4 linked regions of the Saccharomyces cerevisiae S288C genome follow. The main gene of each other region encodes a partner of the protein of the gene in region 2 in a complex. Each region holds a gene or a part of one and is shown on either strand. Other genes may lie near its edges. A codon is read from its position in the direction of its gene.

Evidence for each region.
Region 1: the proteins of MPE1 (region 2) and YSH1 are in contact, whole or in part, in a crystal structure (PDB 6I1D), measured with the Saccharomyces cerevisiae proteins. Residues at the interface, in NP_012864.1 of Saccharomyces cerevisiae: Phe9 (codon at 2,815), Lys10 (codon at 2,812), Ser11 (codon at 2,809), Gln12 (codon at 2,806), Arg13 (codon at 2,803), Asn14 (codon at 2,800), Asn38 (codon at 2,728), Lys39 (codon at 2,725), Leu40 (codon at 2,722), Asp45 (codon at 2,707), Phe46 (codon at 2,704), Val74 (codon at 2,620), Lys75 (codon at 2,617), Arg76 (codon at 2,614), Ser77 (codon at 2,611), Pro78 (codon at 2,608); in NP_013379.1 of Saccharomyces cerevisiae: Arg22 (codon at 4,021), Tyr44 (codon at 3,955), Leu47 (codon at 3,946), Ala48 (codon at 3,943), Leu50 (codon at 3,937), Pro51 (codon at 3,934), Phe52 (codon at 3,931), Tyr53 (codon at 3,928), Asp54 (codon at 3,925), Glu55 (codon at 3,922), Tyr79 (codon at 3,850), Gln82 (codon at 3,841), Arg83 (codon at 3,838), Thr84 (codon at 3,835), Asn85 (codon at 3,832), Asn464 (codon at 2,695), Cys465 (codon at 2,692).
Region 3: MPE1 (region 2) and FIP1 share a complex: the UniProt entries of both Saccharomyces cerevisiae proteins name them as parts of the cleavage and polyadenylation factor (CPF) complex.
Region 4: MPE1 (region 2) and PTI1 share a complex: the UniProt entries of both Saccharomyces cerevisiae proteins name them as parts of the cleavage and polyadenylation factor (CPF) complex.

Annotation. Positions count from the first base shown.
Region 1 is NC_001144.5:695,412-702,096, forward strand, and holds YSH1 (cleavage polyadenylation factor subunit YSH1), read right to left. Parts: upstream 4,085-6,685; coding exon 1,745-4,084; downstream 1-1,744. Other genes in the region: DBP9 (ATP-dependent DNA/RNA helicase), read right to left, coding at 1-1,419; YLR278C (uncharacterized protein), read right to left, coding at 4,588-6,685. UniProt on the Saccharomyces cerevisiae protein: Component of the cleavage and polyadenylation factor (CPF) complex, which plays a key role in polyadenylation-dependent pre-mRNA 3'-end formation and cooperates with cleavage factors including the CFIA complex and NAB4/CFIB. Has endonuclease activity.
Region 2 is NC_001143.9:326,605-332,530, forward strand, and holds MPE1 (cleavage polyadenylation factor subunit MPE1), read right to left. Parts: upstream 2,840-5,926; coding exon 1,514-2,839; downstream 1-1,513. Other genes in the region: fructose-bisphosphate aldolase FBA1, read right to left, coding at 1-883; TOA2 (transcription initiation factor IIA subunit gamma), read left to right, coding at 3,562-3,930; NUP120 (Nup120p), read right to left, coding at 4,252-5,926. UniProt on the Saccharomyces cerevisiae protein: Component of the cleavage and polyadenylation factor (CPF) complex, which plays a key role in polyadenylation-dependent pre-mRNA 3'-end formation and cooperates with cleavage factors including the CFIA complex and NAB4/CFIB.
Region 3 is NC_001142.9:601,701-607,330, forward strand, and holds FIP1 (cleavage polyadenylation factor subunit FIP1), read right to left. Parts: upstream 2,504-5,630; coding exon 1,520-2,503; downstream 1-1,519. Other genes in the region: BUD4 (Bud4p), read left to right, coding at 1-1,378; transcription factor IME1, read right to left, coding at 2,869-3,951. UniProt on the Saccharomyces cerevisiae protein: Polymerase-regulating component of the cleavage and polyadenylation factor (CPF) complex, which plays a key role in polyadenylation-dependent pre-mRNA 3'-end formation and cooperates with cleavage factors including the CFIA complex and NAB4/CFIB.
Region 4 is NC_001139.9:796,496-802,323, reverse strand, and holds PTI1 (cleavage polyadenylation factor subunit PTI1), read right to left. Parts: upstream 1,779-5,828; coding exon 501-1,778; downstream 1-500. Other genes in the region: cystathionine beta-synthase CYS4, read right to left, coding at 2,258-3,781; GTO1 (omega-class glutathione transferase), read left to right, coding at 4,456-5,526; YGR153W (uncharacterized protein), read right to left, coding at 5,579-5,828. UniProt on the Saccharomyces cerevisiae protein: Component of the cleavage and polyadenylation factor (CPF) complex, which plays a key role in polyadenylation-dependent pre-mRNA 3'-end formation and cooperates with cleavage factors including the CFIA complex and NAB4/CFIB.

The sequences.
Region 1 (6,685 bases), on a different chromosome or scaffold from region 2:
CTTTTGATCGAATTTGTAAGGCTGTAATTCTAATCCAAGTTTGCTCTGTTGTTTGATGATTCGTGAAAGAATCCTTTCATCCTTCTTTGCTGTCTGTAGCATTGATGGCTTATGCTTACCAAATTCTTTCAGTGGGACTACGAATGAAATTGCAGTACCGGTCTTTCCGCCACGAGCAGTTCTACCTACTCTATGCACGTAGGACTTAGCCGTCGTAGGTAAATCGAAATTGAGGACACATGCAACATTTTTGAAATCAACACCACGAGAAACACCATATTCCTTATCTTTCTTCACTTGGACCTTCTTTTTCTTGCTTGGTTTCTTATCGTTCTCAGGCTCGCCTTCCAAGCTTTTTTCTTCTTGATTTTCTGTATTGTGCCCTTCTTCTATTTCGTCATCTTCCTCTTTTATGTACTCGGTGTCATCTGTGGCAATCAATAGTTGGTAAACGTTTTTATTGAATTGGTCAACAATATGTTGCCTCGAATTAACGGGTAGCTCGCTGTTTAAAATACAGGACTTGATACCAAATTGTTCCATAACTAGCTTGAGCCTATATCCTCTGTCAATATTATTTACAAAAATTAATGTTTTACCCTTGATTAAGTTAAGTTTAAAAATGACATAGCATAGTAAGAATTTGTCAAATTCACTGACTTTAACGTAATATTGAAGTAATTTGTTTTGGTTCTTATTTATTTCCTCGTCATTGAATTTAAGAATAGCTGGAGAACGACAAAATTTTTGTTTCAAAGCCTGTATATCGTCATTTAGGGTTGCACTCATCAAAAATGTTTGTAAATTTTTTTTCAATGGTAAGTACTCTCCAATTTTGTTTAAATCATCTTGATAACCAAATGTTAACACTAAATCCACCTCATCAACTACTAAAAATTTTAGTTCGTTCAATGAGATAGAATTAATCTTTGTTTGCAACAAATCCAATAATTTACCAGGTGTACCAACTATGATTTCTGGTTGATCCATAAGTAGAGTGCTCAAAACTGAGTCAGACATATCGGATGATATGTTCAGAGTTCTTATATCTTTTGAACAATATAAGACTAGTTTTTCTAAAACATTATATACTTGTTGAGCCAGTTCTCTTGTTGGAACAAGTATAATACCTAGTGTACCATTTTCCTCTCCGTTATCAATTGTTTTTTTATATTCTAGGATAGTTTCAATTACAGGAATGAGGTATGCCAAAGTTTTTCCGGAACCTGTAGCGGCCTTTGCTATAATATCTCTCTTCTGTTGTAAAGCCAAAGGAATAGCATGTGATTGAATTAATGTTGGGTACTGAAATCCTATATTCTTAATAGCTTGTAATAAACGAGAGTCGAGATGAAATGCTTCGAACGTTGTAGAATCGTCAATATAAGCGCCTTCCACAGACTTTTTCTCATAGCTCATTTTTTTGATCTTTCGTTGCAGTTTTGGCTTAGTCTATTTCTTTTGTGAGATAAATTGTAGATTGACTATAACTATCAGCCAAAACAAAAGGCTCTTACTCAATGAAAGAAATTAGAAGAATCGAAATGAAATGAGATGAGATGAGATGAGATGAGATGGTCTAGAAGAGTTATTCTTTATGTTCGTGAAAAAAAATTTTTAAAATTTCATCTCTAGGTTTCATTACGTAAAGAGTGATTAAGGTAAACAATAAAAGGCAGTTCTAACCAGATTTTGGTTTGGTATTACTTCTATAAAGTAGTCTACTTAGTATGCGTAACTGTTTTTAACATAGCGGTGTGACCAAATTACCACCAATATTTAAGAGGCTTTCCACCCTACCTTTCAAAGGATTTGAATTACATTCTAAAATTTTCATATTGTTGAAGTCAATCTTAGCAGTGCTTTTACCTATGGTAACCACTCCAGTTATAGTTTCCTCTTTATTACTTGCATATTCATCTTTATTGAGAAATAAAGTAAAACAGTCACCAAACTGTTCTTTAAACAACCTTGAGATTTGCTTCACCCTCTCAACTTCATCAATCTTACCTTGTGCATTAGACTGCACATTGTTATGATCATGATCATCACAAGAATGACTCGAAAGCTTGACACTGGCGGGAGCTGAATCCACATTCATAAGTATAGCAATAATGGAGTCTGCTACAGTGTCATTCATTAAATCTTGAGTCCATTCCACAACGGCTAGAGTATTAACAATAGTTAACTTAATATCACCCATTATCTGTAGAATCAATTTACCTGTATTGGTCAGATTGTCTTTTGACTCTTCTTTAACCTTTGGTTCTTGATTTGTTACTCTATCATCATCTTGAAGAACTTCAGCCTCTCCAAACATTTGTAAAATGTGCCAGTAAATTAGCTCCTTTTTACAATTTACACGAACTGACTGGCGCTCTCTTAATATCGTTGTAGAAAGATCGGGATGGTGCTCTCTTAAATCAGACAAAGAAAGGAAGTCTAATTCGAAATTTTTGTCATCTGAAACTAGAATCCCAGAAACGACTATGTCTTTGTGTTCCTCTTCATCAACCAAACCTTTTTCTGCTTGAGAATCCAAGTTGTCTTCGTTTTCTTCCTTTATAGGTTCAATTTTAGCCGCAATTTCTTCCTTTATCTCTACGTTTTCTTCTTTATATATTTCGTTCACAATATTTCCCACAGCTTTTGCAACCTTGACACCTTGAAATTCAAGATCTACTTCAACACAGTTTCTAGGATTAAAAACATGGACTTCATTATCTGTACCCTTTAAAGACGCGAAATTGGATAACAATGCAGATTTCAAACGGCCCATGGGATTGGCTTCTCCATGAACAAGGATGATATTTGGCGCACTAATCTTTTCAATAAATTCTAAATTTTCCTGGAAGTCAACGTGTGCGGCAAAGGAGATTTCTTCAACTTGACAACGTCTTGGAATGGTTATTTCCGGATTATTTATGGAAGGTATTGTATCTGGCTCAAGCATAATAAATTTCGCCATTGTTCCTTCGATGGAGTAACCGGTGATTAGTACTAGATTTTTATCTTCAGGGCACCACCTTTCAAGTAAATCTCTTGATAACCCACTTTGCAGCATACCTGGTGAGGCCAACATCACACTGGGACCAAAATCTTGGAAATCCTCCAAGTTTCTAAGATAAGATATATTTTTGAATATGAAGGGATTAGTCTGAGAGTCTCTAAATTTTTTTCTAATGTCATCATTCATCATATTTACATAGGTTTGAAAAACGCTCATACATTTTTTTGCCAAATTTGATGCATAAAATATTGGGACTTGTCCACCACCGAGTTCATCAGCATGTTGAGACCAGTACTCATCCAGTATAAGCATGATTTCTTGAGCTCTCCCTAAAGCAAAAACAGGCAGTAGAACACGGCCTCCTCTCATCACTGTGGAATGGATTAGTTGGGTTAGCTTCCTTTCTCTATTTAAACGGGGCTCGTGAGTAGCGGTACCAAAGGTAGATTCCACAATTAATACGTTGGATGAAAGTGGAGGCACCTCAGCAGAATTTAAGTGACGATCTACTTCTCTCGAATAGTCACCTGTGAATAACACCCTAAGGCCAGCAATCTCTATTTGAAACATCGCTGCACCCAATACATGGCCTGCATGGAATGCCGTAAATTTGATACCATTGACGTCAACAGTAGAATGATAGTCCACCGTTTCAATTTTATCGAAAGAATCAACTAAATCCTCATCTGAGAATAGACCTTCGTCTTTAGTCCCCATAGAGGAGGATGAAGAACCTATACTAGTAACTCTTACAAAATCTCGCAGTAGCCATCTGTAAATGGCTTTGGTTGGATGTGTCATGAAAACTCTGCCTTGAAAGTTAGTCCGTTGCATCACATACGGAAGTGAAGCGGCATGGTCTAAATGGAAATGTGATATCAGTAAGATATCGACTTTGGAAAGATCAAATTCATCGTAAAAAGGTAATGAAGCTAATCCTTGATATGCCGGATGAATTCCTGCGTCGAGCATCACTGTTTTACCTTTATATTGCAATATATGACATGATCGTCCAACTTCGTTACTTCCTCCCAATGAAAAAAATTTGAATGTTGTTGTATTTGTTCGCTCCATATATGCGTATACTTATTAATGTTAACTTATTATGTTACTTTTTATTTCCTCAATGGACAAAATTCAATTGATAATACAATGTTTCTTTTGTGCTGTAACTTTTGAAGTACTGAAAACAAGGGTAAAAGAAATAAACGCTTATACCCGTGAACATTTTGAACCTATTAGATGTGATCTCAATATGTATTGCGCTGAAGCAGTAGAAGTTGTTAAAGATCCGCTAGTTTTTCATAATTTTCGGCCAGAATAACTGCTTACCCGTATTTATTTGCAAACACGCTACTTAGTCTTTTGGAGAGGACTTTATACAGGAAAGAAAGAGTTTTATTGATTTTAAAAACAATATAAATGAAAGAAAAAAATGTGTTTTAGATTAGGCTTATAAGATATGACCCATATCATAATTAAAAAAAGCGATTTAGTTGTTCTTTTAAAAAAAAAGAGAAAAAAAAAAAAAAAAAAAAAAGGAATGAGTTTGTACATACTATTATATTAATGTAGTATCACGTTAAAAAGCCGTAGTCATCATTAATCGTCCAAAAGTCTTCTACCGGACCAGATGTCATCATGTTATCCCAGTTAGAACGCTTTTTCCTGATGTCTGCGTTAGTTACTGTAGGAATAACATTGTCGAAATGCAGATTTGCGCTAGTGTTTGCTTCCACCTGTGTTTTAGGTCCATTCTTCTCTGTTTCGTCAAGATTATATTGTACACCTTCCTGATTGGACATCATGAACAAATTTCTGTTATACGAAGGGTCATTCTGCGTCTGTTGAAAATTATTAGCGGTTACATTGTTTTCAGAACACATATTTTGTTGTTGATGTTGTTGCTGCTGTTTGTCCATGGACAGAGATGAAGGCTCTTGACTCTGGGGAAATATTGTTTGTAGTATGGACTTGCTATTCAAAGCATCTAGAACGGAGTTATTGGTCCAGGTGGAAATATTGTTGATCATGTCATGAGCACCGTTGCTGAAAAGTATATCGCCCGAAGAAGAGCCATTTCGAGCTTGTTTGACACTGACCGGAATTGAATTGCTAGTAAATGACGCTGGTATCGAGGAGATAATATTATTGCCATAATCTGCTCTTAGGGGTGATGTACTGAAATTTGATTCTTCGACATCTCTTAATTGCTTATTTTCACTTGTATGGTTAGAGAATATTGCAGATTGTAGAGGATTACTGTTGATCATACCATTGTTTAATTGATTCGTAAAATTGCTTTCTGAGAATCTTTGTGGAGAAGTAATATGTTGTTGTGGCTGCTCCCGCTGTTGTTGCGGCAGTGGTCGTGATACATGCTGTTGCGGTAGCATATTGGAAGTTTGAGGATATGGAGTTGGGCTTTGCGTCATCGCTATTGGAATCGGATCCGAATGCGAAGAGGCTGTAGATATGCTAGAAGATTTTGAAGGACTTCTATTGGTCATAGTATCGGTGTTCAGGGACGATAGATACGCTTGTAAATTGTGCTGAGCTAGTTGCTGTTGTAGAAAGGCCTGCTGTTGAAATACTTGCCAATCAAACTCTGTTTGGTTGGTTGGTTTCTTGACGATATATTGGTCTTGAATAGGCCTTTCTACATCATTTTCCATAGTTACGTTGTTGTTACGAACATACTGGCTGTTGTTGCCATTATTGCAGCTGTTGTTGGTAGTGCTTCTGCTATTACTTTCATTATCATTATTATTAACATTATTATTATTATTACTATTATTATTATTATTGTTATTATTATTATTATTATCATTATTATTGTTGTGATTATTGTTGTGTTCTCTGTTGACGCTGCTGATGGTCATACCATTGTTATCATTGTTTACATTGATTTTCAGGTTTTTTTCTTGGGAAGAAGGAAACGATAATGTCGACGATGATGACGAAGAAGAAGATGATGACGAAGAAGATGTTGTATAAGACATTGAAGAATTTGAAATACGTGACCTGTCATCCATTTTGGTTAATAGGTGAGCTAAACTTTTGGGTACAGAGGTCTTTTCTAAAACACCTTGCTTCTTCTTGAATTTCTCTTGTTCAGCCAAATCCACTTGTGAATTTTCCACAAAACCGGCGTGCTCTTCAGCTTGTCCTTTACCAAATATTCTAGCCACAGCAGGCGGCATACCGCCATTATGAGATATATTTTTATCGTTTGAATTGGATAGATTAGCTGCATTTGCGGAGTTAGAATCATGAAGAGTATCCCCAGATGAAATTGCCTTATTGGCCTCATCATTGATGTTCTTGGGTTCAGTACGCTTGGCGACACTACTAGCCATGAAAATTAACTCAGAAGAGTCTGGACCACATCTTTCAATCAAATTACCTACCGTGGCATTCATTAACTGATCGAAAGTATCTCTAAAGGTTCTTGCAAAATTAGACCTTTCTGTCATAACATATAAACAAACGGAGCAAGCTCTCAAATCATCCATCGTCGAAAAGAGACTTGCACTGATTAAAGGTCTAGTATGCTTCGAAGCATCGCCTAATTTCTTCCTCCTTTGATCGTCAAAATTCCTGGCTAACCACATACAGTAGATTAAAGTTACGCCAGCTACAAAAACCGTATGCACTGCTGGTGTAGAATGACCA
Region 2 (5,926 bases):
CGTATTGACAGTCAGTGTCCAAGTTGACCTTGACAACACCGTTGTCAATACCAGTGTGGAATTCTTGGACAGTAGAACCGGAACCACCGTGGAAGACCAAGAACAATGGCTTTTCTTCCTTGCAACCAACTTGTTCTCTGGTGTACTTTTGGTGTTCAGCCAAGATTTCTGGTCTCAAAGCGATGTCACCAGCGTACAAACCGTGACAGTTACCGAAAGCAGCAGCAATGGAGAAGTTTGGAGAGATTGGGTGCAAAGCCTTGTAGACGTTGTAAACTTGTTCTGGCTTGGTGTACAAGTCTTCCTTGTCAGCGTTTTCGTTGTTAACACCATCTTCTTCACCACCGGTAATACCGATTTCCATTTCTAACCATTGGTCCATAGCGGCCATTCTCTTGAAGTACTTGACACAAGTAGAGATGTTTTCTTCATCGGTTTCTTCAGACAAATCCAACATGTGGGAGGAGAATAATGGTTCACCGTGTTCCTTGAAGTAAGCTTCATCAGCTTCCAACATACCATCGAACCATGGCAACAACTTCTTGGCACAGTGGTCAGAGTGTAAGACAACTGGGATACCGTAAGCTGGAGCAATGGATCTGATGTAGTGGGCAGCGGCAATAGCACCCTTGATGGAAGCATTTTGACCTTCGTTAGAGATACCCTTACCAGCGAAGTAAGCAGCACCACCGTTAGAGGTTTGCAAAATGATTGGGGACTTGCTGTCTCTAGCAGCTTCTAAAGCAGCGACGGCAGTAGAAGAAGAGGTGACGTTAATAGCTGGAATAGCGAACTTGTGTTCCTTAGCGTAAGTGAATAAGTTGTGGACATCTTCACCAACGATGACACCGGTCTTTCTCTTTAAGATTTGTTCAACACCCATTTTGAATATGTATTACTTGGTTATGGTTATATATGACAAAAGAAAAAGAAGAACAGAAGAATAACGCAAGGAAGAACAATAACTGAAATTGATAGAGAAGTATTATGTCTTTGTCTTTTTATAATAAATCAAGTGCAGAAATCCGTTAGACAACATGAGGGATAAAATTTAACGTGGGCGAAGAAGAAGGAAAAAAGTTTTTGTGAGGGCGTAATTGAAGCGATCTGTTGATTGTAGATTTTTTTTTTTTGAGGAGTCAAAGTCAGAAGAGAACAGACAAATGGTATTAACCATCCAATACTTTTTTGGAGCAACGCTAAGCTCATGCTTTTCCATTGGTTACGTGCTCAGTTGTTAGATATGGAAAGAGAGGATGCTCACGGCAGCGTGACTCCAATTGAGCCCGAAAGAGAGGATGCCACGTTTTCCCGACGGCTGCTAGAATGGAAAAAGGAAAAATAGAAGAATCCCATTCCTATCATTATTTACGTAATGACCCACACATTTTTGAGATTTTCAACTATTACGTATTACGATAATCCTGCTGTCATTATCATTATTATCTATATCGACGTATGCAACGTATGTGAAGCCAAGTAGGCAATTATTTAGTACTGTCAGTATTGTTATTCATTTCTTAGGGCTTGCGTCAGCTTGATGAGGATTTGTGATAGTAGCCGTTGGAGGCATGAAGGGCATTGGAAACATGGGGAAAGGAGGTATACCGAAAGGTAACGGTACTGGTGGCACTGGCGTACCGCCGTTATTTACAGAAGTTGGAAGGCTGGTATTGTTGTTCAAGCCAGCGGTGCCAGTTGGATCCATCAACTTCATTTTCTTAGTTTCTGGCTGGTTGCCATCTTTAGAGCTTCCGTGTAGTTCCTCTTGTTTCTTCAAAAACGTTTCGACCTCCTTTTCCTTGTCCTGGTCGGGTACTAAAGAATCGAGAAGGATATCGCGGGTTTCGCAATTGGGGCATACAAAGTCGCTCTCTACCAGTGCATTTTCCAGCGCCTCTTTTGAGAAATCTATGTTACAGCACTTGCTTGTCTTTACCGGCTGCCTCAAAAGACCACCTGTCAAGGGACATTTTAAATCGTCAGGAAGATCTTTGAAATGGCCTTTTCTCCAAATGGTTTCATCACCATCAATTTGACGGTTCTCTCTTTTCCTTTGGTAGTCTTCCCATGATTGTTTGTCTTCAACTTGTACCACGAACTTGCCTTCGTCCGTAATCATAATCTTTCGCTGAGCCATCTCTTCCGGTGTCATTGTCTCGGGATCTATTTCAATGGATTTTAAAAACTTCTTTGGAATACCTGTGGTTCTTCTGATTCTTTTTCCTTCAAAATTTGGATCGCTGTTAGTTGGACAATTTTTAATCCAGTGGTCTCTACCCCCACAACGATAGCACATATAACCTGGTGGCGGTGGGCCTTCGTTTTCTTGTGCAGAATTCTTATTCGTCTGTGACTTGAAAAAAACAGGTGTGGCTGCAGACATTTCTTCTTGCGTTTGTTCCCATTGATTTTCTTGTGTGGCAAACATACTAGCAATTCTTTCTTCTTCCGTTGTACCACTAACATTAGCAGTGGTTGTAGCAGTGTGTTGTCTCTTTTGCAACACTCTTGGCCTACCAGTAACATACCTTGTTGCGTTCCCAAGAGCTGCTGCTCCCACATTCCCTTTAAGTCGACTGTGTACGGAGAATGATTTAATTGCTGGAGATCTTTTTACTATGACACTAGTAGATCTAGGTATAACAAAGGCATCATCGTCGTATTCCTCTTCTGTATCTGGGTTGTAAATTTTTAATTGGAAATCTGTGCCGTCACCTAGTTTGTTCTCTTGAATAATTTCCCTTTTCAAATCAAATACTGTCAGGCCGGTACCATCAAATAAAATTCTTGATGTGTTTCGTTGAGACTTAAAGCGGTAAAATATCGTGCTACTCATGTTACACTATTCCAGTCTCTGCCGATATGATGAGAGCTACCGAAATTTCAGTACCCTCTTGATTGTTCTTGCTTATTTTATGTTGGCCATAAACTTGGTTATTAACAATATGCTTGATATTCATCATCATTGTATTAACTTTCAGTAAAGTTACCCGCCTGAATTACAATGTTGTGACATAATATAATGGCATAAGGAAGGTTATTGCACCAGCAATGGATTAAGGTAGTTATATTTACCGCTTATACACTACATGATAATGAATATATCAAGTCGATCATCCTTTTTTATGTTTTAAAATACTTTACATACATAACTGTGTTTTTACTTTATCTAAAAAAAGAGTTGTTATGAATTTGTGATTATTTATATTTCCAAATATTTATGATCTCAAAACGTAAAAAAACATAAAAAAAAAGTGTTAACCAAAGAAATTGAAGAAAGATAGATAAATAAGTTCCAAAAGTTCTATGAATTTTCAGGTTGCATGGCAGATAATGTCTTCTGCTAGGCAAATGTCAAACATGAACTGAATTGTCAATACAACATAATGTTAGCTTCATTATTGTTGTATTGCCGGGTAAGCTAATTTTACTAATAACAATATTTTCTTAACGCCTTAGAATACTTTGTGAAATATTCGACCGAATAAGGAATAAGTAGAAGATGCACTTAGAGGTTAGGAGGGGGACACAGGCTATCGAAGATAACAGTAAGGATAAATGGCAGTACCCGGGTATTACGAATTATATCGTAGAAGTACTATAGGGAATAGTTTGGTGGATGCTCTTGATACTTTAATTAGTGATGGGAGAATAGAAGCGTCGTTAGCTATGCGTGTTTTAGAGACATTTGACAAAGTGGTGGCTGAGACTTTAAAAGACAATACCCAATCTAAATTGACTGTGAAAGGAAACCTGGACACATATGGATTTTGCGATGATGTTTGGACTTTTATCGTAAAAAATTGTCAGGTTACTGTTGAGGACAGCCACCGCGACGCCTCCCAGAACGGGTCTGGAGATAGCCAAAGTGTAATTTCGGTGGATAAGTTGAGGATTGTGGCATGTAACTCAAAAAAGAGCGAGTAATATCTATGCTATATGCCCGGATGCTTTGTTGACCAATAGTTACATTGAAATTTCTCTATTATCTCCTCTCTTCTACCGCTTTTAATACAAGCTCTAGGAACAGTGTCATGAAATAATGTTTTGTATTCTTTTATATTAGGGAACTTGTGATTCTTCTGTTTTTGTTTTTTATTTTTCCTGTCTGTACATTCATGTAATAATAATTTAGATTTAAAGTTCAATCTTTTTACTTAAAAAACAAACGAAGATCATGGTGCTAATATTCGGATTTGAGTTGATCAATTTTTTAAATGAAGTATTAATTTACAGTTTATATATTCACTATAGACCTCGTAACTCATCTCTTAAATCAGTTAAAGTAACCACTTTACTTCCGTTTAGAATCCATTGATCGTATGCACTATCAAAGCTAGATAAAACGTTGATGACCATTAGGTAACATTTTCTCTTTCGAATAACATCAAGATCAGCTTGCATTAATATGTACTGGTACAGTACTTCTGCAGCAGCCCTCTCGCTTTTGTTCAACATTCTAAAACAATAAAGTTTCTTAAAACACTCCCAATCACCACTCCGTAGATTTTGTGACAGAATACTATCCACTATTTTAATATCTACTGTACGAAGATATAGCTCGCCATTGTCTGAATGTGCGTTACACAAGCGCAGAAGTGTGCTGAAAAAATCTCGTGAATATATGTCTTCCTGTAATAATAATTGGAGAAAATTTGTTCTTACTGTGTCGGAAAGACACTCGTGACCCAATCTCAAAACATCCAAGACTTCTTCAAACATTCTGAAGTGGATTAAAAGATTTAAATAATGAATATGCTGTTTTTCTTTGAAGTCTTGCAGTTCTTCAATCTGAATTTCTTTTAATGAATATTCTGCTGACTTAGATATACATTTCAAAGCAAATTCTTGGCTGTTATTTCTATCAAATAAGAGAGATAATTGATAATAGAATGCAGAATGCCTATATGGAACTGTAAAGGTGCACAAAAGATCTTTCCATATACTATCACCGTGATAGTTTTCACTCTTAAGGTCTTCTAAGAATGTCGGCAATTTATCATTGATAGCCTCCGGATAATCGTGTAGTTGAAAAATTTCATAGGATTGATCGAAATTACCACAACTAAATAACGTCATGGCAAACATAAATTCTTGCACCTCGTTGTGGCGTAAGTAGAAGGGGCATTCAACGTTCTCGAGAAAGAACCTTATATTCTTATGAGATGTGTTTTCAATGATATATGAGCGGAAAAACGTCATAAAGAAAGAATTTTCAGTGATGGAAGCATTGTAAACATTAGAGTTTAAGGAATCGATATAGGCAATGAGTTGGCCGTAGTTAAAAAATTTGACACCGAAAGAGAATTCAGAAGAATCCTTGAGAAGAACTTCCGCCAACAGACACTTATCTTGTCTATAAAGGTTTAACAATAAAAATTGCTTATAATGCAAATCCAATAATGTAGATATATGCTGTCCGAAAATTTCGGTATCAAGATCGAACAGAACGAATGTTAACAATACTTGTAAAGTAATACGATAATGTATGGAAAGTAACTGGTGAAGAGATTCTAGGGAAATTATACTTGTGAAACCATCGAATTTGATTGCAGAGATGAAATCCTTTTTCCAAAATATACCAGGCTTCATTTGGTTATTGATTAAATCATTTAAAACAACGGGTATATCAAAAGAGTTTAATTCGTCGAAAAGAATCTTTAGATTTGTGATTTCAAATTGATTTTCTAGGCAATTTTTGAAAATGTCCGTAAATTTTTCTACGGTAGTCATAGAATCAGGCAGCTCTCCTGTTATTATATCAAGAAACTTCTTAGAAATGGATCTAAGAACATCATTTGACAAAGTAGAAGCAAAACCATTCAATGTCCTTAAATACTTGAACAATTCAGAACCATCAGTTTCAGAGTGCATATTATAAAACCAATTCTCCACAGTAGTATTCAGCTTGTAAAGGGAATGA
Region 3 (5,630 bases), on a different chromosome or scaffold from region 2:
TCCAATAAAACGGCATGTTAGCAGTCCTTTCAAGGTCGTGAAAGCTGGAAACAAACAAGAGAATAATGAAATAAACATTAAGGCTGAAGAGGAAATAGAGCCAATGACGCAGCAAGAAACCGATGGTTTGAAACAAGATATTCCTCCACTGCTAGCGCAGACAAAAGATAACGTCGAAGCAAAAGAAGAAACGATAACTCAACTTGAAGAACCACAAGACGTTGAACAAGAATTTCCGGATATGGGAACACTTTATTTAAGTATAAAGGCTATTTCCACGCTTGCATTATATGGAACTAAGAGTCATAGAGCAACATATGCTATTGTTTTTGACAATGGGGAAAATGTCGTTCAGACACCCTGGGAGTCGCTTCCGTATGACGGTAACATCAGGATCAATAAGGAATTTGAATTGCCCATAGATTTTAAAGGAAAAGCCGAAACATCCTCCGCTTCTTCTGAAAGAGATAGCTACAAAAAATGTGTTATCACATTAAAATGTAAATATGAAAAACCTCGACATGAATTGGTCGAAATAGTAGACAAGGTGCCGGTGGGTAAGAGTTTTTTTGGAAAGACAAAGTATAAATTTGAAAAGAAGTATGTACAGAAAAAACCTAAACAAGATGAGTGGGATTATCTATTTGCACAAGACGGTTCATTTGCTCGTTGTGAAATTGAAATTAATGAAGAGTTTTTGAAAAACGTGGCATTTAATACCAGTCATATGCATTACAATATGATTAACAAGTGGAGTAGAATCGCAGACAAAATTCACGGCTCAAAAAGGCTGTACGAGTTACCACGCAAGGCGCCTCACAAAGTGGCTTCGTTGGATGTGGAAGCATGTTTCTTAGAAAGAACTTCTGCCTTTGAACAATTTCCCAAACAATTTTCATTGGTCAATAAGATTGTTTCCAAATACAAGTTGCAACAAAATATCTATAAAGAAGGGTATTTATTGCAGGATGGTGGTGATCTGAAAGGAAAGATAGAAAACAGGTTTTTCAAACTGCACGGCTCGCAACTTTCTGGTTATCATGAAATCTCTAGAAAGGCTAAGATCGATATTAATCTGTTGAAAGTCACGAAAGTCCTACGTAATGAAGACATCCAGGCGGATAATGGAGGGCAAAGGAATTTTACAGATTGGGTACTCTTTAATGAATGCTTCCAGCTAGTATTTGACGATGGTGAAAGAATTACTTTCAACGCGGAATGCTCTAATGAGGAAAAAAGTGATTGGTACAATAAGCTCCAGGAAGTTGTTGAGTTGAATGTTTTCCATCAACCCTGGGTGAAAAAGTATTGTGAAAAGTTAGCTGAGGAGGAAAAGACTCGAACAACCGGTCATAATTTGAAGCAAGATTTTAATTAGAAGGTGATTAATGGAATGAAAACAGCATATAATCTGATGACTGAGAGGTCTTTAGTTTAAAGATTAATTAAATACACATAATAAGAGTAAATACGTGAATCATGGACGATATATTTTTATTTCAATTTCACAGATCCCCATTCATTTCGAATTTTGATTTTGATTTTGATTAGGCTGTTGGTTCATGGGTGGCATCATACCTGGCATGGGGAATGGTGGAAAGCTACCAAACATAGGTAAGGGTGGGAAGCTTGGATGCATTGGTGGAGCGGGAGGGTTTGGTGTTCCAGACATACTATTACCCATATTACTGTTCAGATTAGACATATTTGCATTGTTTACGTTGTTGTTGTTATCAATTATATTACCGAGGTTTGAGTCTGTATCATTCGCGGAATTCAACTTCCCTTGCTGTTGGAGGGATAATAGGCCCATTAGGATCCTCCTAGGATTATAATCTTGTTGTAGTTTTTCCTGTCTATGTAAATACTCCATCCAGGTAAATTCGTTAAAACCGTAATTGAAATAATCACTTAAGTTGGCCCCCGGTTGCCTCCAGGGTTTCTCCTTTAATACTTCAGGATCTATTGTCGTTATGCCAACACTATCAAAGATTCCCTCTTTATCCAGGTCTATAGAACCAGTCATTGCTTTCGGTACATTTCCATCGCTCTCTGTAGCTTTTACGGTCGTTGCCGTTACACCTTGATTTGCTTCTCCTTCTGTTATTAGTCTTTCATCTGATGTCTTTGTGATGGTATTGGATACATCTGTAGCTACGCTAATTACGTCTTTGCTTGAAGATGTCGCTGCGGTAGAATAAGAATCGAGTAGTTTTGCATCTAACCTAGTAGGGTCAGGACCCAGACTTATGATAACCTCTAGGTCAGAATCACTATCGTCATCTGAGGAGTCAGAGTAGATATCTTCATCAGAACGATCATCTCTGGCAGTAGCTGGAGTTTCTTCCACGGGAGAGTCGAATTTTTGCCTTTTAACTATATCAGGATTACTGGACGCACCTGCGTCTGCTTCATCATCTCTTGATCGTTTAGATGAAGGTAGTGCTAATTCGGAGTCGGAACCATACAAGAACTTGTCGTCTTCGTCTTCACTGGAGCTCATTTAGAGAAATGCTAATAATTTTAGTGTAGGCAAAAGGAATAAGAATGCAAAGCACGATGGTGCGGTTTAACAAAGTGAATTTGGTGATGTACTCTCTCAAGATTTATGTCGCATTATTCGCTACGAAGGTTTTTCAAGATTAAAACGAATCTCCTTTCCCATCGCGACATACGATAAGGCTAATAACGCTACGGTATTATGTCATGGAGCTTGAGACATTGAATACATATATATACCTATATATAATATATATATATGCAAATACACAAATTCTTAGCAATTTGAGTGAGACAATGGAAATAAAGAAATGAGTGTGAATGGATATATTTTGAGGGAAGGGGGAAGATTGTAGTACTTTTCGAGAATTAAGAATAGGTTTTACTAAACTTGTAGGATATTTCTTGAAACCTGACCTTGTCATAATAATCTTGATCATTAGAACTGCTGAAGGAGTAAGCCGCAGCATATCTTGACAGTTTGGAGTTCAACTTTTTTAGGAATTCTAACTCTTTTGAATTTAATTTTTGTAGTGATGGCGGTGGTGATTTTTCAACGTCGAAGGCAATTTCTAATGGGTAATAGTAGGAGGGCACCTGAGGTTCATCTATAAATGGATCTGCCTCATATACATTATCGGAGGCGTTGTTATTATTGCTGGTATTATTATAGTAATTACAATTAGTGCTTTTATGGTTGCTATAGTGACGATTATTAAAGGAATGTATGTTATCAGTATGTGGTGGAAACTGATCTTGATATTGGGAGTATGAATCCGTGTTTTTTGAATTTATTGATTCATGAATATTTGTGGGTTTTGAATAGGTATAATTAGTGGTATATGGGTAGAAGTCTTGTGTGTATGGGAATTCATTGAATTCAAAATTTTCTTGGAATATTTTGATATCTTTTTGTGCATTTGTATTAGTTTCATATTTTATTGTGTCACTAATATCGATATCATCTCCATTTCTGTTGCTCTTTTGAAAGTTATCATGGTTATTGAATGATGAGTGGAACGTAGATGCGGATTCATCATTAGAAAAAAGAGATGATAATGAAGAGGATCTGGTACTTTCAGAGCTCTTTTTTCCTCTTTCAGGACCAGTTGCCATTGTGCAGTCCTTCGTAGTTTTCGTTTCCTTGGAAATAGGCTGAGAATCAATATTTTCCAAATTCAGAAACTCTTCATTGAACAATATTTGAGGATTAATTAAATGAATTGGTTGTGTATGAACCAAGTTCTGCAGCTGAGATGAGGCAATTTTGTCAGACTTTTCAAAATGCCAACTTCTAGGGGAAATTGTAGATCCAAAAGAAAAACAAGGACGGTCTTCTTGATCGGTGGTTGTGTCATAATAAATGTTAGGTTGTTGTTGCTGTTCAAAAGGAAAGAGGAAGAAACCATCTTCTAAGGCAGCGTGAAGTTTTCCATGCATATCCGCTTGCATTTTGTTTGTGGGGAGAGGAATAGAAAAGCTTTTCTTTTATTATTTTTTTCCTTTTTCACCAGTAATGGGTGCCAGTAGGAATTTGTTTCTCTGTAGGTGACTAATGACAGTAGTATATTATGCTTTTAATCTTTAACAATACTACTGGTCGATTTATAATATGATAATGTAAAATAAATCGTAATAGGATAGTCGATGTTTGTATCTACTTCACGAAACAGTTATGGTATACGGTAGTTTAAATATCTGAAGAAGCAAAAATACCGAACTACAAGGGAAGCATTTTGAGAAAAATATTAAGATCAAAAGATAATTAATTTACCTTAAATACATAAAAGAGGAAAAGTAATATACAAGGTAAACAACAGGCAAGGAACAAGATCAAAAACGTCCGACCCCAATTTAGTAGTAAATTACAGTAAGAGAAAAAGGTATTGGGGCTGATACATATTAATTGTGCGTTGTTGTTGTTGTTTAATTTTAGATTGGCTATTATGAGTACACACAAAACGTTGTAAACGCAATCACCCATGGATAAGCGCTCCCTTTAAAATGCACTACGAAATCATTGATCTACTAACTTTAAACCGGACTTAAACCATCAAAGGGTGCTCTAGATCTCATCGATGTATTCTGATGCAGCCAAAATTGCGCAATCAATCACGTTTCCCGATATAGAAAACTAATTGGCTGTGTTACGTGGCTGGGGGTTCTGTAATTCCTTTCTTCCCCGGTGAATCATCAAGATTGGGCTAAGCGCCTTTGATCCTTTCCCTCGAAGACGGAAATGGGGCCGCAGGATAAAAAATGGTGTGTCTGTAATTCCGATTTTTTGCTTATGTAATCATGTAACTTTCTTCTAGTCCCTTTGCAGACATGCATGACACTTCCTTACCCGAATAGTGAGTTAGATCTGTGTTAGGATGCAGGATGGGCAGTTCAAAGGCTTTTCTTATCGTATCTTTACCTTTTCCTGTAACTAAGAAGGTTTTTGAGTGCATGTAAAGGCACATAAATGAAACTTTAATTCCCTGCGTATTTAAGACCCAAGAAGCCACCATGACGCTTCCTTGATGTTGTATCTACCCCCAATCCTGGCGCCCCCTCCTGCGGGCACGCATGCGCCTTTGATCCTTCCCCTCGAAGACGAAAAGTAAACAAAGATACGCACTTTTTTTCTCCAACGCAGTATTGAAGGTACCATCACATGCTTACTCACTTTGCGGCTGCTATAACACCGTGGCAGTGTAACGTTTTACCGTTTGTCCTTTGCTACCGCATTTTAAAGTGGTACAAGATGTTGAGAGAAAAGATTTCCTGCAGCCATGATTAGGAGAGGTAATAGCGGATGACATCAACGAATAAGCTTTATCCAGCGGCTTGTATAGTTCTGTGTACACAATTACTGCCGGGCTCTCTGAGCATTTGCGTTTCTCGGGCTAGCTTCATTACTTAGTAACTTCAAATTAATGAAATATTTAATTATCATGATTCCAAACAAAACTACTTTAATTTCAATCACATTTTTGTTATCTGCCTGAAACGATAGCTGTACGGGTACGTTCTTGATAAATAAAACTCAGTGTTTAAAACTCTCTTTTTACATCTGTTCGCCGATGATTGCTTGCTCGGAGGTACTAGTCATCGGAATTGAGGAAATTCCTTTTCTCCTTTGTTTT
Region 4 (5,828 bases), on a different chromosome or scaffold from region 2:
CTGGATTGTTAGGTTGAACTAACGTATAAAATTAGGGGATAAAATGAAGAAAAGAAGATAAACTAATCAAAGAGGCAAAAAAAAAGGTCCTTTGAATCAAACTCTACTATATTAGTTATATTTTGAAGATTTGGTGTGAACTCTTCACATGAGAAGGGAATAAAAGGGAACACAGTGGAAAGAATCTGTATTTTCATATGCCTACTTATAAATTCACATGTGTCGGAGATCCACGTTATCTAACATTTGAGGTTTTGCCGTTTCTGGCATCGCCGTTCATTTTCACAGTTTTGTGTGGAAAACTTCGCGAATAATGAATGCGGCATGAGAAAAGTGTGGCAATTGACTGTCTTGACCAATTTAAACCAAGGCAAAAATATATATTTAACAAGGCAAACATTTAATGTTGGAAGTTTAGTGCCGCTTTTAGTGATAAGAGGTACAGATGCAAGAACCATCTAATTAGGTGTGGTTTTCTGATACGCTATGGCTCTGATTACTTAGATTATATATTCTTTTCTAAAGTTTTCCACCATAAGTTGCTGGTCACTTGGTAAACTTTGGATCTGGGCAGGTGTCAAAGTAAGAACTTGTTTGATCATATCTTGTTGGTTTTCAGGTAGTAATTGCAGTTTCGCCATATTAATGGTGCCGCTGTCATTCGCTTTATTCGCGTTAGAGGGTCCTTCTGTAGAACTTATATTTTGTTGCTGGACCTGGCCGAGTTGATTTGCCAACACAGGCTGTCCCATGGAGGGGCCTTGAGCTGGAGGCATGAAAGGGCCCGGTGGCGCAAAACCGAACGGTTGTTGTTGCAGAGGTAAAGGGATAAATGGTGGTGTCGACATAGGCATTGGCATAGCTACGTTCAGTGGCATATTGTTAGGATTGTTGCTGACTTCATTAGAAGGTACATGCAACGGAGTGTTATTTCTAATTACGCTTACGGGGGTGTTCGAATTACTTGTGTTATTACTCGAAAGCAAAGATGGGGCCTCGCCAACTTGGGATTTCAACACTTTAGTCACCACGCTGTAGTCTATAAATCCCATTTCTAGTAGGGCTTGGGTCACTGATATTGTGATATCACTGTTAGTATCTAAGAAAGATTCTAATTGCGATTTTTGGATGTTTTCTTGGTTTGATAATATTTTCAAATTTGATATAATTTCAATAAGTTGCAACGGCGGAATTTTACTTAAATTTTGTGAAATTTTGTCTGGTGCAATAATCGAGCCATCTTGGAAACTTGGCAAGTGTTTAGATGCTTTACTTAGTATGTCGGGGAATTGAATGTTTGTGTTATTTGATACAGAGTTTGTGTTATTTGCAGCCTGTGGTGGCGGTGGTCGCCTAGGAATGGGGACTTCTGTCACCATTTCGAAAGGTAGCTCCAAACCCGCCTCGAAGGGGTACGAATCTCTATTAAGTTGTAATACCTGCTTTTGAGAATTTTTATTTGCTGTTTCTCTAAGATGGTCCTTATAATTTGGTGGGATTATTTGCTCTATCTTTACGGGAAAGTTTTCAATTCTATTTAAAATTTCCCAAGCGCGTTTACAATCTTTACTAGTCAAATAATCGAACAGTACACCGGTTAGTTTACCAGTTCTCGGGTCATTCTTAGCTTTTATATCTATAACTGGACCAGAACCGGCCACGACCGAAGTAATTATATCTTGGTTCCATTCTGGAGGTAAGTTTGTGATTTGTAATGTAGAGGATAAATTCTCCGGTGTCAAGAAATGACGGCCTGTTCTTCTTCTGGGATCTGTCATCAATTTTTTTCCTTCGTTCTTCGTTCTTCGTCTTCTCCAGTTGTGAGTTTTCTAAATATACCTATATATAAAATAATAAAATCTAATCAATGCAACGTGTTTGACAGTGACGTTTACAGATAGGACGACCGGATGAGCGACTGAAAAAGGTGCTATTATGAATGCACGGTTTCGCAAGACCTCAAACAATCGTACTAGTATTTCTGAAATTCTGCTTTACTGCCCGACCTTTCCAACATGTCGCTGTTTTTTTGTTTTTCTTCAGAGTCGGGTAAGAGCAATAAAGTGAAAAGTTAACAGATTCAAACACTGATGTGATGCATGCATGATAAGGAATTTGTAAAAATAATAGAACAATGCTGCTTCGTATAGGCGCTATTTAATTAAGTAGTTATATAAAGAGAACGGTGCAATTGAATAGGAAAGGAATGACGGATTTTGCTTCTATGTTTGCTTTTATTTGAAGCGTGGGTTCTTATTTATGCTAAGTAGCTCAGTAAATCCATCTTAGTAACGATATGGATTGGTTTCAAGCCATCAGTGATAACGGCAGATGAGTTTTTTTCAAAGAAACGATTCAAGTCAGATAGCTTTGAGTTTTCATCGAATTTAATAAACTTCTTCTTACCGGATTTATTTTCGTTGTAAGAGGAAACATCATTGAAATTGTTTAATTTCTTGAAGTCCAAGTATTTACCCTTTATAGTGTTGTCGTTGTTTGAATTATTGATTGATAGTTTTCTTAGAAGCTCAGAGAGAGTAACTAAACCAGACAACTTGCCGTCTTCAGTCAACACAGGCAATTGGTCAAAGCCATTGTCTTTTAATATCTTGATAACATCAGTGACCTTAGCGGTTTCCTTAACGGAAACAACCGGTTTCAAGTGAAGATCCTTTACAGTAGCGTTACCAAACACATCAGCGTATTTTGTCGTCGAAGCCTCCAGCTTTGAAGAGTCAAAACGGGCCAACACGTCATCATCCCACAAATTGTTCTTTTTCAACCATTCGTCATCGACGAATTTGGTTAGGTACGACCTGATGGAATCTGGGAATATGGCAACAATGACATCATCTTCAGTCAGTTCAGGGTGGTCTTCACAGTATTTCACAACCGCAGTGAAGGCAGAACCGGAAGAACCACCCACCAAGACACCTTCGTTAGAAATCAATTGTCTGGCGTATTTGAAAGAAGGCTTGTCGTCTGTCTTATACCAAACATCAATTAATTTTCTGTCCAAAACCTGAGGAACAAAATCATAACCAATACCCTCAACTTTGTAGTCAGTGATATCAGTCTTATTCAAGTTTTCAGGTTGGGCTAAAATTGAACCGAATGGGTCAGCACCAACGATTTGGATCTTATCATTCTGTTCTTTCAAGTACTTGGAAATACCGCTAATAGTCCCACCAGTACCAGCACCAGCAACAACAGCGCGTAGATTATCAAATAAATTCAAGTCTTCTAGCTGTCTTTGGATTTCGCGACCAGTACCAAAGTAATGAGCTTCTGGGTTCATCATATTGTTATATTGGTCAAGTATAACAGCACCAGGAATCTCTTTTTCCAACTTCTTAGCAACACCAATATGTGATTCTGGAGAATCCCAGGCAGCAGCAGTTGGAGTTCTGATGATTTCAGCACCCAGAGCCTTTAGGACAGAAACTTTCTCGTTAGACATTTTTTCCGGCAAGGTGATGATAGTTCTGTAACCTTTGATGGCGCCGATTAAAGCTAGACCGATACCGGTGTTACCAGAAGTAGGTTCGATCAGAGTAGATCTGGAAGGATGAATTCTACCGGAAGCTTCAGCTTCTTCCACCATAGACTTGGCAATTCTGTCTTTGATGGAACCACCTGGATTGTATAGTTCCAGCTTAGCATAAATTTGTGGTTTGATACCCAAAGCCTTAGGCAATTTTTTCAGTGCGATCAATGGGGTGTTACCAACTAAGTCGATAACGTTATGTCTTGAATCGGCTTGCTGCTCAGATTTAGTCATTTTTATTCTTACGTCGTATTTATCTAGATGTCCTTTGAGCAAGTGGCCTACAACGAAATCTTCAAGTGTTGCCTTTTACTTTGGCATAGAAGCATCACGACATTTATATATACAAGCCTGGTGAAGTGCCTTGCGTTTACTTTAACCTTTAGGAGAAAAAAATTTTCGGTGTTGGTTTCTTTTTTTCCTTTCGGTGCAAAACTGTGGAGGAAGATGGCAATAAATTAGTGAAACGGTAATGCCGTGTGGACTGCATATGCCGGATATAGCATTTATCAGTCACGACAGAGCTGATTATCCTTACTTGGGTGAAGTTGAAGTTGTTGTGATAAGGTTAGAATGCAAATGAAGCTTTGTCAGCGCTGAGAAAGAAAATTTTGTTTTGTGAGCCACTACTATCACGTGCCATTACCATTTTAATCAGTTATGAAATAGGGGAATGTGTCATTGAGGGAAAATGTAATGGCCACCAAATGAATCAGAGGGTCGGATGAGAACACACCCTTACTAACTGCTGTTCATATCTCACAGTTGCCATTGATAAGCTCTGGTGGGAAAATACCCTTGATTTTTGGTAGCACATATTGACATAACAAAAGTCTTGACTTTGCCAATTGGAGAGATGGCCACTTATAGAGGAAAATACTCGTAAAAATAATCATAAACAGTAAGCCATGTCAGTATCTTACAAGGGAACAATTTCTAAGACACATTCTGTTTTTAAACCAGAAAAAGGAAGGTATTATATTTACGGGGCCCTTGGGTGTCCATTCACTCATAGAGCCATTCTTGCCAGGTCTTTGAAGAAATTAGAACCTGTTCTAGGGCTTGTGTTATCTCACTGGCAATTAGACTCCAAGGGTGCCCGTTTCTTACCTGCTCCACACCGGCCGGAAAAATATAAAGAGAGATTCTTTACTGCCACTGGTGGCATTGCTTCAGCTAAATTAGACGAATCTGAGGAGTTAGGTGATGTGAACAATGACTCTGCAAGGTTGTTCGTGGATGGCGCTTTCGACCCGGTGGAAAATATATCAAGGTTAAGCGAGTTGTACTACTTAAATGATCCTAAGTACCCCGGTACAAAGTTCACTGTGCCTGTTCTGTGGGATTCTAAAACAAGGAAAATTGTTAACAATGAGAGTGGCGATATCATAAGAATTTTGAACAGTGGCGTGTTTGATGAATTTATCCAAAGCGAAGAAACGAACGTGATTGATCTAGTTCCGCATGATTTAATAGACGAGATTGATAAGAACATCAAATGGGTTCATCCGAAGATTAATCTTGGTGTCTATAAAGTCGGATTAGCAGAAAACGGAAAGATTTACGAAACTGAAGTAAAAACACTGTTTGAAAACTTGCAGAAGATGGAATGTGTACTAAAAGAAAATTATAAGCGCTTAGAGGAGCAATTCAGTGGTAACAAACAGAAAATCTTGGCTAAATATTTTGTTTTAGGACAGAGGTTAACTGAAGCGGATATCAGATTGTATCCATCAATAATTAGATTTGACGTCGTGTACGTGCAGCACTTCAAATGCAATTTGAAAACTATAAGGGATGGTTTCCCGTACCTTCATTTGTGGTTGATTAATCTATACTGGAATTACGCAGAGTTTAGATTTACTACAGATTTTAATCATATTAAGCTCTTTTACATCAGGATGGAAGTAAGTAGGAACAAGATCAATCAGTTTGGTATAGTGCCATTAGGCCCAAAGCCTGACATTTCTAGATTATGAAAACTTCTAATATTTTCTTACACACACATATATTTATATGCATGGCTATACTTCAAAAGAGGTTGTCACTTCCATTTCCATGTAGGTAAAACTCGTGTATAGACGGAACACAGACTTCCCTAGTTTTATTGACTTCATAGTCTCTGCACCATTCAATTATGTCTCTGTAAAAGAGACTCTTCTTTATATCGCCCTTTTCTATATTCTCCATCTCCAGTTCTTTGAAGCATTTTGCTTTTCTCGATTTATGACAACCACACGGTTTTACACTCTCCTCTCCATGTTCTACCATTTCATGCCTC